Oryctolagus cuniculus: one gene and its partners. The protein of the gene in region 1 interacts with the protein of each later gene in a biochemical or structural test. Links are inferred from orthologs where the notes say so. Each region holds a gene or a part of one and is shown in the gene's direction. Other genes may lie near its edges.

Evidence for each region.
Region 2: the proteins of PTEN (region 1) and STUB1 form a complex in vitro, tested with the Homo sapiens proteins (2 studies listed by BioGRID, with this or other methods). The link is inferred for Oryctolagus cuniculus from reciprocal best matches to the Homo sapiens genes PTEN and STUB1.
Region 3: the proteins of PTEN (region 1) and RPS13 form a complex in vitro, tested with the Homo sapiens proteins (2 studies listed by BioGRID). The link is inferred for Oryctolagus cuniculus from reciprocal best matches to the Homo sapiens genes PTEN and RPS13.

What each region holds. Positions count from the first base shown.
Region 1 is NC_091446.1:42,814,300-42,818,339, reverse strand, and holds the start of PTEN (phosphatidylinositol 3,4,5-trisphosphate 3-phosphatase and dual-specificity protein phosphatase PTEN), read left to right. Parts: upstream 1-1,240; 5' UTR 1,241-1,241; coding exon of another isoform or gene 1,242-1,268; 5' UTR 1,269-1,785; coding exon 1,786-1,853; intron 1,854-2,312; exon of another isoform or gene 2,313-3,222; coding exon 3,223-3,317; intron 3,318-3,480; exon of another isoform or gene 3,481-4,040. UniProt on the Homo sapiens protein: Dual-specificity protein phosphatase, dephosphorylating tyrosine-, serine- and threonine-phosphorylated proteins.
Region 2 is NC_091450.1:34,026,459-34,029,729, reverse strand, and holds STUB1 (E3 ubiquitin-protein ligase CHIP), read left to right. Parts: upstream 1-1,204; coding exon 1,205-1,360; intron 1,361-1,527; coding exon 1,528-1,726; intron 1,727-1,801; coding exon 1,802-1,967; exon of another isoform or gene 1,968-2,051; coding exon 2,052-2,139; exon of another isoform or gene 2,140-2,261; coding exon 2,262-2,504; exon of another isoform or gene 2,505-2,574; coding exon 2,575-2,700; 3' UTR 2,701-2,771; downstream 2,772-3,271. Other genes in the region: RHBDL1 (rhomboid-related protein 1), read left to right, coding at 1-9, 79-139, 211-865; JMJD8 (jmjC domain-containing protein 8), read right to left, coding at 2,775-2,855, 2,932-3,066, 3,140-3,207. UniProt on the Homo sapiens protein: E3 ubiquitin-protein ligase which targets misfolded chaperone substrates towards proteasomal degradation.
Region 3 is NC_091432.1:49,244,795-49,248,859, forward strand, and holds RPS13 (small ribosomal subunit protein uS15), read left to right. Parts: upstream 1-1,265; 5' UTR 1,266-1,461; coding exon 1,462-1,484; intron 1,485-1,629; coding exon 1,630-1,678; intron 1,679-1,799; coding exon 1,800-1,878; intron 1,879-2,527; exon of another isoform or gene 2,528-2,617; intron 2,618-2,759; coding exon 2,760-2,929; intron 2,930-3,249; coding exon 3,250-3,350; intron 3,351-3,875; coding exon 3,876-3,909; 3' UTR 3,910-3,954; downstream 3,955-4,065.

The sequences.
Region 1 (4,040 bases):
CTCTGAGCTGGGCCTCCTGAGGTTTCTAGTCTTCAGGGGCTGCCTGTAATGATGATGTGCACATTTACAATCTTCCTCACAAGAAAACTCGGCTTTAGACCTTTCTAGGTATCTACTCACCATTTATCACAACACATGTGCCAACTGATTCCCATTTTCTCAGATGTCAAAAAAAAAAAAAAAAAAAAAAAAAGAAAAAAAGAGAAAAAGAAAAAAACAACCTAGGGCTTCAGCCTGGTCTAAGTCAGATACTTCTGAACTCAAATTTTCCCCTGGAATTCTACTTTCCTGGAGCGGGGCGCCGGGTGGGGTGGGAGGAGAGTGGGGGGAAATGAAAGAGAGAAAAAAAAATTCGTAGGTTGGTGTTGGTTGACGCCCCTTCTCATTTTGAAGCTGACTGATGTGCGTATTTTGGGGAGGGGGTTGAGGAGGCGCTCTAGGTCTAAGCATTTGTGAACCAGCTCACTCACTGGATAGGTCAACCACGGGGCTGCAGAAAGACTTGACAGGTTTGTTCTGGGCATACGGCCAAGGACTAGACCAGATAAGGCACTTGGCTGAGTCTACAGTAGGTGGGGCGTGCTCACCAGTGCAGGGGTAGCGACTCAAAAGTTTGTTGCAACACCTGCAATCCAAGCAGCAGGCGCAGCGGGAACGAGCCTTTGGCCCCGACAGCACGGAACCAGAGGGTTCACCCCAACCAACGAGGGAGATGCGCCAGATCCCTCGGGCCCGGCCCCTTTTCCCACGGTTGAGAACAAGCAGTGCTTGTCAATCCACAGCAGAGAGAGCTCACTCCGTGGGTAGCAGAAGGGTGAGAGCAGCGGTGCACGGGAGCGGGGGCACGTGCTTGGATGGGGGTGCCTGCCCAGCAGCTAGCCCAGACAGCGATCCTGTGGAGGCTCCACTGGCCATCCCCAACCCCGTCCCTCTGCAGCCTGGGAGGGTGTGGGGGTGCTGCCCGCGCCAGGCGGGAGCACCCCGAGCGTAGCTGGCGAAGCACTTGCCTCCGGAGCTACGCTTGGAGGAGTGGGAATTTGGAAAGTTCCCCAACTCGGAGCACACGTGACCCCTTCCTGAAAGTAGTTCCGACGGTGGCTCGGGTATCCTTCCACCCCCTTTTGAACCCTCCTAGGGCTCCTCGCCCCGCCCACTCGCGGGGCTGCCGCTTCCTACCGTCCTGAACGCCGCGCCCGGGCCGGCAACCTGGGCCTCCAGCGTGCACCGGCCGGCCCGGCGAGCGCGGAAGCTGGCCGCGGGCGATTCATCGTGCCAGGTTTTCTCAGCGGCCCGGAGAGTGGGCGGGGCGAGGCAGCCTCTGAGGACCGAGCTCGAGTTCGACGCCGCGAACGGACCCGGAGCCTGAGGGGACAGATGCTCAGCTCTCCGGGGGCCGCGGAGGGAGCTGTGGGGGTGCGTCCCGCTCACGGGGATCCTCTTTAAGGCGGCCTAGGCAGGAGGCCCTCGGGCCCTGGGAATTCGGGGCGGGGGGCGACGTGTGCACTCTAGCGCGCCCGGCTGAGAGCTTTCGCTTTTCGGGCAAATGAACCGAGTAGCTGGGGCAGCGAGAGGTGGGGCGGTGACTGGAGCCGGATGAGGCGAGACGCGCCGCCGGAGACACAATAGGGGGTCGTTCTTTGTGCTGAGGCTGACACCTTGAGGACCCGGGGGCGGCGGCGGCGGCGGCGGCGCGGGCGCTCTAGGCAGAGGCTGCGACAGTGAGATCCCTGCGAACCGCCGCGATCGTCCACAGCGGGACAAACGGAGTGCGTGCGTTCGCACGCCATGGCGGGGGAGGGGTGTCCTCGCGGCATTTCCCTAGATACTGACCCGCGCGGTCCACCTGTGCACAGGTAACCTCACACTGCAGTCGGCGACACCGCTCAACGCACCAGTCTCAGTTTTCATCATCCACCTTCCTCCGCCCCCACGCCGCCCCGCCGCAGTCTGCCCTGGCTCCGGCCGGGTGTCCGGGCAGAGGCCGAGGCTGAGCTCGTTCCCCCGCCCCGAGCTGCTGCAGGAGCAGCCGCGGCAAGTGCAGCTACGGGCGGGCGCCTCGGAACAAGCCCGAGCGAGCCCCAGGCAGTCACACTGGGCATGCTCAATAGCACCAGCAGGTTGGGGGCCCTGCGCTCGCACCTGGAGCTGCCGCCCCCGCCCCCCACCCCACCCCGGCGCGGCCCAGCCCTCCCCTCCCCCGGCGCGGTCCCGTCCGCCTCCAGCTCGCCCCCCGCCTCCCCTCGGGCTCCCGAGGCGGCCCGGCTCCCGGCGCGGCGGCGGCGGCGGAGGGGGCGGGCAGGCCGGCGACGGTGATGTGGCGGGACTCTTTGTGCACTGCGGCAGGATACGCGCCCGGGCGCTGGGACGCGGCTGCGCTCAGTTCTCTCCTCTCGGAAGCTGCAGCCATGATGGAAGTTTGAGAGTTGAGCCGCTGTGAGGCTAGGCCCGGCTCAGGCGAGGGAGATGAGAGACGGCGGCGGCCGCGGCCCAGAGCCCCTCTCAGCGCCTGTGAGCAGCCGCGGGGGCAGCGCCCTCCGGGAGCCGGCCGGCCTGCGGCGGCGGCAGCGGCGGCGTTTCTCGCCTCCTCTTCGTCTTCTCTTCTAACCGTGCAGCCTCTTCCTCGGCTTTTCTTGCGAGGGAAGGTGGAAGCCGTGGGCTCAGGCGGGAGCCGGCTGAGGCGCGGCGGCGGCGGCGGCGGCGGCGGCACCTCCCGCTCCTGGAGCGGGGGGGAGAAGCGGCGGCGGCGGCGGCGGCCGCGGCGGCTGCAGCTCCCGGGAGGGGTTCGGAGCCGCCTGTCACCATTTCCAGGGCTGGGAACGCCGGAGAGTTGGTCTCTCCCCTTCTACTGCCTCCAACACGGCGGCGGCGGCGGCGGCACATCCAGGGACCCGGGCCGGTTTTAAACCTTCCCTCCGCCGCCGCCGCACTCTCCCTGGCCCGGGCTCCGGAGGCCGCCGGAGGAGGCAGCCGTTCCGAGGATTATTCGTCTTCTCCCCATTCCGCTGCCGCCGCTGCCAGGCCTCTGGCTGCTGAGGAGAAGCAGGCCCAGTCGCTGCAACCATCCAGCAGCCGCCGCAGCAGCCATTACCCGGCTGCGGTCCAGAGCCAAGCGGCAGCAGAGCGAGGGGCATCAGCTACCGCCAAGTCCAGAGCCATTTCCATTCTACAGAAGAAGCCCCGCCACCAGCAGCTTCTGCCATCTCTCTCCTCCTTTTTCTTCAGCCACAGGCTCCCAGACATGACAGCCATCATCAAAGAGATCGTTAGCAGAAACAAAAGGAGATATCAAGAGGATGGATTCGACTTAGACTTGACCTGTATCCATTTCTGCAGCGGCAGCTCTCTGCCTTTCTGTCACTCGCATAACGTGGGAGTAGACGAGTGCGAAAATGTTCCGTAGTTTGGGGTAGCTGTAGCGTTGAGCCCTGGTCAGATTTCCAGAGCATGGATTTTTGTGTCTCTTTTCGGGTGTATTCCGCCCAGGGTGTGTTCAGCTAGACGGAACTCGTGCCTGGTTGCAAGTGTCAAGGCACTGATTGGTTTCGTAGTGCATGTATGTGGTCTCTTCCTAAGGGCCATTGTCCGTTAATGCCGAATACTGTACACTGTTGATGGATTAGTGGGCTCGATAATCCGGTCTTGTAGGTGAACGAAAAAGTAGACGCTTGGAGATTGAGCATATTTCGATTCAATCTTGTTAGGCCCTAGATCAAGGGTATAGATCAGATTAAAATGAAAATTAGTGTTCCGCGTCCGCATATTGCATCAGAATCGCGCAGTGATTTGTTTTTAGTTTCTAGGGTTGCATTGGTAGATTCTTTTAAAAATGTGAATTGTGGACTGATTGGTGTAAGTTTAGAAGCAAAACCATTTTCAGTATATGTGGTGTGTGTGGGGAGGGCAAAAGTAGGTTTGTATGTGTAAATGAAGTTAATTACAGCTTGCAACTGCACTTAGAAGTTTTGTAGTTTGAAATCAGTAGTGCCACAGTGCACCTTATAAGGTTCGATTCACTAAATCTTTGTTCAGTTAGCCGTTTT
Region 2 (3,271 bases), on another chromosome or scaffold:
GTCGTCATGGTAATGGGCGCCCGCGGGGGGCGGGGCGGGCGCCGCGGGCCTGTCTCACGGCCTCTCCGCGCCCCTCAGAACTGGGCTGGGATGCGGTGTCCCTACAAGCTGCTGCGGATGGTGCTGGCCCTGGTGTGCAGTGAGTAGGGGCGGGGCGGGCGGGGCGGGCCCGCGGGCGGGGCGCCGCCCACCTGCCGCCTCCCTCCGCAGTGAGCTCGGAGGTGGGCCGCGCCGTGTGGCTGCGCTTCTCGCCGCCGCTGCCCGCCTCGGGCCCGCAGCCCAGCTTCATGGCGCACCTGGCGGGCGCCGTGGTGGGCGTGAGCATGGGCCTCACCATCCTACGCAGCTACGAGGAGCGCCTGCGGGACCAGTGCGGCTGGTGGGTGGTCCTGCTGGCCTACGGCACCTTCCTGCTCTTCGCCGTCTTCTGGAACGTCTTTGCCTACGACCTGCTGGGCGCCCACGTCCCCCCGCCGCCCTGACCGCCTCCTGGGCACAGGGGAGGCCCTGCCCCCGCCCCGCCCCCGGGTCCGCGGTCCGCGCCTTTTGCAGAGTGAATAAATATTTTACACGGCACCAGGTGGCTGTCCGGGGTCTGGAGGCGTCTCTGCCCCCCGCTTCCCGCGGACCGTGCGGGGCCCTCCCATCTACGAAGGGACTGGGCTGCGGCCCCAGGGGACAGGCGGTGGGTGTCCTGGCCCACGAGTTCGGCCTGCACGCCGTGGGGGAGGGGGCCAGGCTGGGGCCGGTCAGGCACGGTGTCCCACCGCCCATGCCGAGGGGGCGGCGCCGGCGGGGTCGCTCCCACCTGTGCGGACGCTGCCTCACGGGCCGCACAGGGTGCCCGGGCGGCTGCGGCAGCTGAGGCCGTACTCAGCTGCGGGTCAGGGCGTCCTGGGTCGTCTCCGCCGGCGGGGCCCGCCCCCGGGGGCCCGCACGCGCTGCACGCCTCGGCCTCCCGCTGCCCCCATGCCGGGGGCGGGGCGTGCGCGGAGGGGCGGAGCCCGGCCGCAGGGAGGCGGTCCTTCGGAGGCTCCGCGCGGCGGGCCCCGCCCCCACCCCGCCGCAGCGCGCACGCGCGACCCCGCCCCCCGCGGCCGGAAGTTCCGGTGGCGGCGATCCGGGCCGGGCCGAGCGGGGCGCGGGCTGCGGGCGGCCGGGCGCGGAGCCCGCGAGCGGAGCCCAGGCCGTGCCGCGCGGCGCCATGAAGGGCAAGGAGGAGAAGGAGGGCGGCGCGCGGCTGGGCGGCGGCGGCAGCCCCGAGAAGAGCCCGAGCGCGCAGGAGCTCAAGGAGCAGGGCAACCGGCTCTTCGTGGGCCGCAAGTACCCGGAGGCGGCGGCCTGCTACGGCCGCGCCATCGTGAGTGCGCCGCGCCGGGGGCGGGCCTGGCGCCGGGGCGCGGCCCTTCGGGGCCCCCCGGCTTGGGGCGTTTGACTCGGCCCCGGCGGCGGCGGCCGCCCGGGTGCGGGTGCGGTGCGGGTGCGGCCCGCGCGCACGCCCACAGCGCGGCCGCCCGCTCTCCCCAGACGCGCAACCCGCTGGTGGCGGTGTACTACACCAACCGCGCCCTGTGCTACCTGAAGATGCAGCAGCACGAGCAGGCGCTGGCCGACTGCCGGCGCGCGCTGGAGCTGGACGGCCAGTCGGTGAAGGCGCACTTCTTCCTGGGCCAGTGCCAGCTGGAGCTGGAGAGCTACGACGAGGCCATCGCCAACCTGCAGCGAGGTGGGCGCGCGGCGCGGGGCGCGCGGCGCGGCTGCGGGCGGCCGGCCGGGCTGACCGCGCGCCCCGCGCCCGCAGCCTACAGCCTGGCCAAGGAGCAGCGGCTCAACTTCGGCGACGACATCCCCAGCGCGCTGCGCATCGCCAAGAAGAAGCGCTGGAACAGCCTGGAGGAGCGGCGCATCCACCAGGAGAGCGAGCTGCACGCCTACCTCGCCAGGCTCATCGCGGCCGAGCGCGAGAGGTGGGCCCCTCCGCGCGTTTATTGACAGCGGGGCGGGGCGGGGCGGGGCGGGGCGGGTCCTGACGCGCGGCCGCTCGCCCGCAGGGAGCTGGAGGAGTGCCAGCGGAGCCACGAGGGGGACGAGGACGACGGCCACGTCCGCGCCCAGCAGGCCTGCATTGAGGCCAAGCACGTGAGGGCGGCCCGGCCGGCGGGCGCGGGCCCCGGGGGCGGCGGGGGCGGCGGGGGCAGGCGGCGCTGGGCCGGGGGAGGGCCGTGTGCGGCCCCGGGGCAGCGCCCCCTCGCTTCTTCCAGGACAAGTACTTGGCGGACATGGACGAGCTCTTCTCGCAAGTGGACGAGAAGAGAAAGGTGAGCCTTGTCGGCGGGGCCCGTGGGCAGGTGCCGGCCGCCCGCCCACTGAGCGCGCCCTGTGTGCAGAGGCGCGACGTCCCCGACTATCTGTGCGGCAAGATCAGCTTCGAGCTGATGCGGGAGCCCTGCATCACCCCCAGCGGCATCACCTACGACCGCAAGGACATCGAGGAGCACCTGCAGGTGGGTGCGGCCGCGGCGGCCCGGCCGGGCGCCCCGCCCCGCCGCGCCGCTGACCCCGCTGTCCCCGCAGCGCGTGGGCCACTTTGACCCCGTGACCCGGAGCCCCCTGACCCAGGAGCAGCTCATCCCCAACCTGGCCATGAAGGAGGTCATCGACGCGTTCATCTCGGAGAACGGCTGGGTGGAGGACTACTGAGCCCCTGCAAGGCCCGCCCCCGCCCCCGCCCCGGCGCCGCCCCTGTCCTGCAATAAAGTCCGTGAGCACGAGCGCTAGCCCAGGAAGGTGGAGATGAACACGCACGTGTCCAGGTTGAGCGTGGCGTGCCACCAGCGGGCCGGGAAGTACAGCACCTGCGGGAGGGGCGCGGGCGTCAGCGGGGGGCCTCGCCTCCCCCGCCCCGGCCCCGGCCCCGGCCCCGGCCCGGACCTCGCCCGCGGAGATGGTGCACTCGAGCGGCCGCGCGGCCGGGGCCAGGCCTGGGTACGTGTCCCGGAGCCAGGCCAGCGTGGTCTCGTTGGGGTGGAACTGCGGCGTCTTCTCGGGCGGGTACAGGAACCAGCGCTGGGGGAGGGGAAGCGCACGCTCACCCCGGGTCCGCGGGTCCGCGCGCCCAGCCCCTGCCCACGGCACTGACCTTGCGGCCGTAGATGACCTCCGAATACCCGGGCCCGTGCCAGTGGAAGGGCACCCCGGTGCCCGCGCCTGTGGGTTTGGCGGGTGAGCAAAAAACCACACCCCCCTGCCCTGCCCCCGTCCCCGGCTCCCG
Region 3 (4,065 bases), on another chromosome or scaffold:
TTCACCCACGTGGGAGAAGAAGCTCCTGGCTCCTGGCTTCGGATCAGCACGGCTCCAGCCGTTGTGGCCGACTGGGGAGTGAACCAGCGGATGGAAGACTCACTCTGTCTCTGCTCTCTGTAACTCTTTCAAATAAATAAATCTTTTTAAGAGAAACTATTTAGTTATTTTTGTTTGACTCGTGATTCAAGGAAGACACACACAGACTGCCAAAACCATTTAATGAGTAAAGAAAAGTTTTGTAAACAAGCGGTGCTAGGACAAGTAGATAACCATATGGAAAAGAATGAGAAAGGACTTACTTCGTACTCATAAAAATTAACTCAAAATGAATCAAAGACTTAAAGTGCGCAAGAGCTAAAACTTAGAAAAAAACCTTGAATTTGACAATGGATTCTTAGATATGACACCAAAAGCAGGAGCCAAAAAAAAAAAAAAAAATACAAAAAAGATTAACTTTGTCAAAATTGAAGACTGTGTACCAAAGGGTCTTCTCAAGATAGCATAGGTAGGGGCTGGTGTTGTGGCATAGCAGATGTGTCAGCATCCCATAGGAGTGCCCATTTGAGCCCTGGCTGCCCCACTGCTAATGTCCTGGGAGAAGCAGCAGAACATGGCCCAAATGCTTGTGCCCCTTCCACCCTTGTACGAGACCCTGAGGAAATTCCTGGCTCCTGGGTTTGGCTTGGTCCAGCCCTGGCCACTGAAGCCACTTGGGGAGTGAATGAGTGGATAGAAGATCTCTGTTTCTTGAGTCTGTGTAAAAAAGAGAATAAAGATGACCCACCGAATGGGAGGAAAATTTGAAAACAGTGTATCTGAGAAGGATCTAGTACTCAGAACAACTCAGAACCCACCTTTAAAATGGGCAGAGAACTTTAATTAATTTATTTGAAAGCTAGAGTTCCAGAGAGCTCAGAGAGAGGTCTTCCATTCGCTGGTTCACTCCCCCATATGGCCACAACTGCAGAAGCTGTGCTGATTTGAAGCCAGGAGCGTCTTCTGGGCCTCCCACGTGGGTGCAGGGACTCGAGGACGTGGGCCATTTTCCACTGGTTTCCCAGGCCATAGCAGAGAGCTGAATCGGAAGTGGCGCACCTGGGTCTCGAACTTGAGTTAACATGGGATGCTGGCGCTTCAGGCCAGGGCGTCAACCCACTGCACCACAGCGTCGGCCTCAAGGCAGGGAACTTTGATTGGATGCTGGCGTCAGACTCCCGCTCTCGCCTGGCGCCTCATTGAAGCCTAAGTACGCCGGGAGGTGTGGCCTGCGGACGAATCACCGCCTACACCCAGAGGCATTTCGGGACTTGTAGTCACACGGACGCAGCGGCTGCGCAGCGGAGCCCCGCCTCCTGGGAGCGAGGACGCGGGAACGTGTGAGGTCACTTCCGGCGTGCCGGGTGGCTTCCTGCGGCGCTTTCTCCCTCACTCTCTTTTTGCTCCCTGCCCGCCGCCATCATGGGTCGCATGCACGCTCCCGGGTGAGTTCGGGGCGGCCGGCCGGATTGCGGGGCTGGGAGGCGAGGGAGAGGACGGGTGATGGTGTGGGCAGCTGACCGAGGGGCGGATGTTCTGAGCTGCTGGGGCACGAGCCACCATTTCACCCGACACTGCTTCTCTTCCTAGGAAGGGCCTGTCCCAGTCCGCTCTGCCCTATCGCCGCAGCGTGCCCACCGTAAGTAGCTCCCGGGGGCCGGGCCCGGGGCCTTGCGCGGCGTTGAGTCGGGAGGGGCTGCTGTGCCGGGACGCGGTCCCGGCCTTCCTGGCCTAACAGGCGCCTTCGCTCCCTTCTACAGTGGCTGAAGCTGACGTCCGACGACGTGAAGGAGCAGATTTACAAACTGGCCAAAAAGGGCCTGACTCCCTCGCAGATCGGTGAGTGCGTGCGTGCAGAGCGGCCCCTTCCGCTTGCTCGTGGGACCGTGGAGGCTGCACGCGCGCTTTGGGGGTGGGGTGCGGTTACTGTTGGGGACTGAGGTTTATTCGTCATTGCGCTCTCCGGCCCCTGGGTAGTAGGTGGTGAAATCGGGAAAATTCCCGACAGAGTCTATGGAGCATCCTCCTGGGTGCCCGATGGCGAGCGCTTTACAAGTTCTGACCGCCGCGAACTGAGGCCGCAGTACTGGTAGTTGTCCCCTAAGGCCCCTTACAGCCGATAGCCCCAGGGTATACAGCCGTGAAGGCGGGTGTCGGTGTTGACTCCAGAATGCTTGACACAAGAGAGCGCCCGCCGTGTGGCCCGTGCAGGTGGCTCCGTTCAGCCGAGGTTCGCCTGCTGCGTGGGGAACATGGCTTCTGGGCCCTTGGATGCCTGCCCTCTTAGAGTGTGGTGGAGGTGTGACACAAAGTACTAGATGATCCAGTAGTCAGGGACTCCCTTGAGGTCTAAAAGGACTAGCAGGGTATGGGAAGCTTTTAGAGAAGAGTGGGTATGAGTTCTCGGGTGTTAGCTGGTTTTAATCACAGGACAAAGACGTGCCAATGCAGGGACCCTGAGTGTTGTGGTCGGCTGTACTCAGCAAGCTCACCGTGATGATGGTCCTCCACCATTCGCAGTTTCCACCAGAAAGGTTTTCCTTAGTGTTGGGTAAACCTTCCTTGGATGTCTGAGTGAGCTCCTGGTACAGGTTTCTGTGGGGACCCCCCCCCCCCCCCCCAGCTTACAAGGGGAGCGAGTTGGTTTCAGAGCCCCGGCGCGCACATCACACGCCGCAGTGTGTTTGGTGCTGGAGTAGAATTCGAGGTCCCCCTTTCAGGTGTGATCCTGAGGGACTCCCACGGCGTGGCGCAGGTGCGCTTCGTGACCGGCAATAAAATCTTGAGGATCCTGAAGTCCAAAGGACTCGCTCCTGATCTTCCCGAGGACCTCTATCACTTAATTAAGAAAGCTGTTGCTGTTCGGAAACACCTGGAGAGGAACAGGAAGGTAAGGAGAGGATGGAAGTCGAACTGGAACTGCTTGGGGACTCGCCACAGTGCTTTCAGCAGCAGCGTTTTCTGTGGTGTCGCCTGTGCAGCTGGTTGTCAGTGTTGGGGAGGTGGGTGTTTGGCTTGCCAGCCATTGCTGTTAGTCTTTCCTAGAAGCCTTAAACTCCCTCAGTAGTCCAGTCTAGCCATTCTGTTCGAGAGCGTTGGGTAACTTCATTAGGAAAAGTGCTCTGTGATTCTGTTCCCTCGCTAGATGAATGTTTGCTAACCTGTTATTTTGAGTGGTTTTCTTAGAGTTGTTTCAAATTTTATTTTTAGGACAAAGATGCCAAATTCCGCCTGATTCTGATAGAGAGCCGAATTCACCGGTTGGCTCGATACTACAAAACCAAGCGGGTCCTCCCCCCCAATTGGAAATAGTAAGTATCTACCTTTCTGTTAATGGGAACGGGAATTAGCCAGATAGTAAGTATTAGCAGCAGAGAAATACTTGAGGCTCTTTGAGCTTGGCCGTGGTAATGGGAAAGCAGCCGTGGGTGGTACGTGAACAGACGGCCTGCCTGTGTCCCATGCCCAACACCGTGGTTTGTATTGTTTGGACTGCAGAAGCCCTGTCGCTTCTTCAGGGTAGTATGTCAGGGCTCGTTTCTCACCTCTGCTTCCAGATGTTAGCGCTGTTTTGATTTCTGCGTGAGGTGCTCTGATCACTGATACCCAGCCATGCACAGCTTTCACCAGAAATGTTTTTCCCAGAGTTGGCCGGTTCTTCCTCGGCTGGCCGAGTGAGCAGTGAGCAGTGTTGAGCTGATTGGGCAGCTCCATCACTTGGTGCCCTTCATATTGATTGACTTTAGCCATTTGGAAAGAGCTCCATTAGCAGGGGTGTGTGTGAATGGATATGGACGACCAGTATTAATCCCTATTTCCCCTTTTTTCCTTTTCAGTGAGTCATCCACAGCCTCTGCCCTGGTGGCATAAATTTGTTTATGCGCTCAAGCAATAAAATCATTGTTTAACTAAAAATGTGTTTTGTGGGTTTTTTTCCTAAAAAAAAAAAACTGTATCACTGATCCATATGTGATTGTTTCTGGTGGGGAGCAGTGAGAATCTTTCATCCCTGGACTGGCCCCTAAA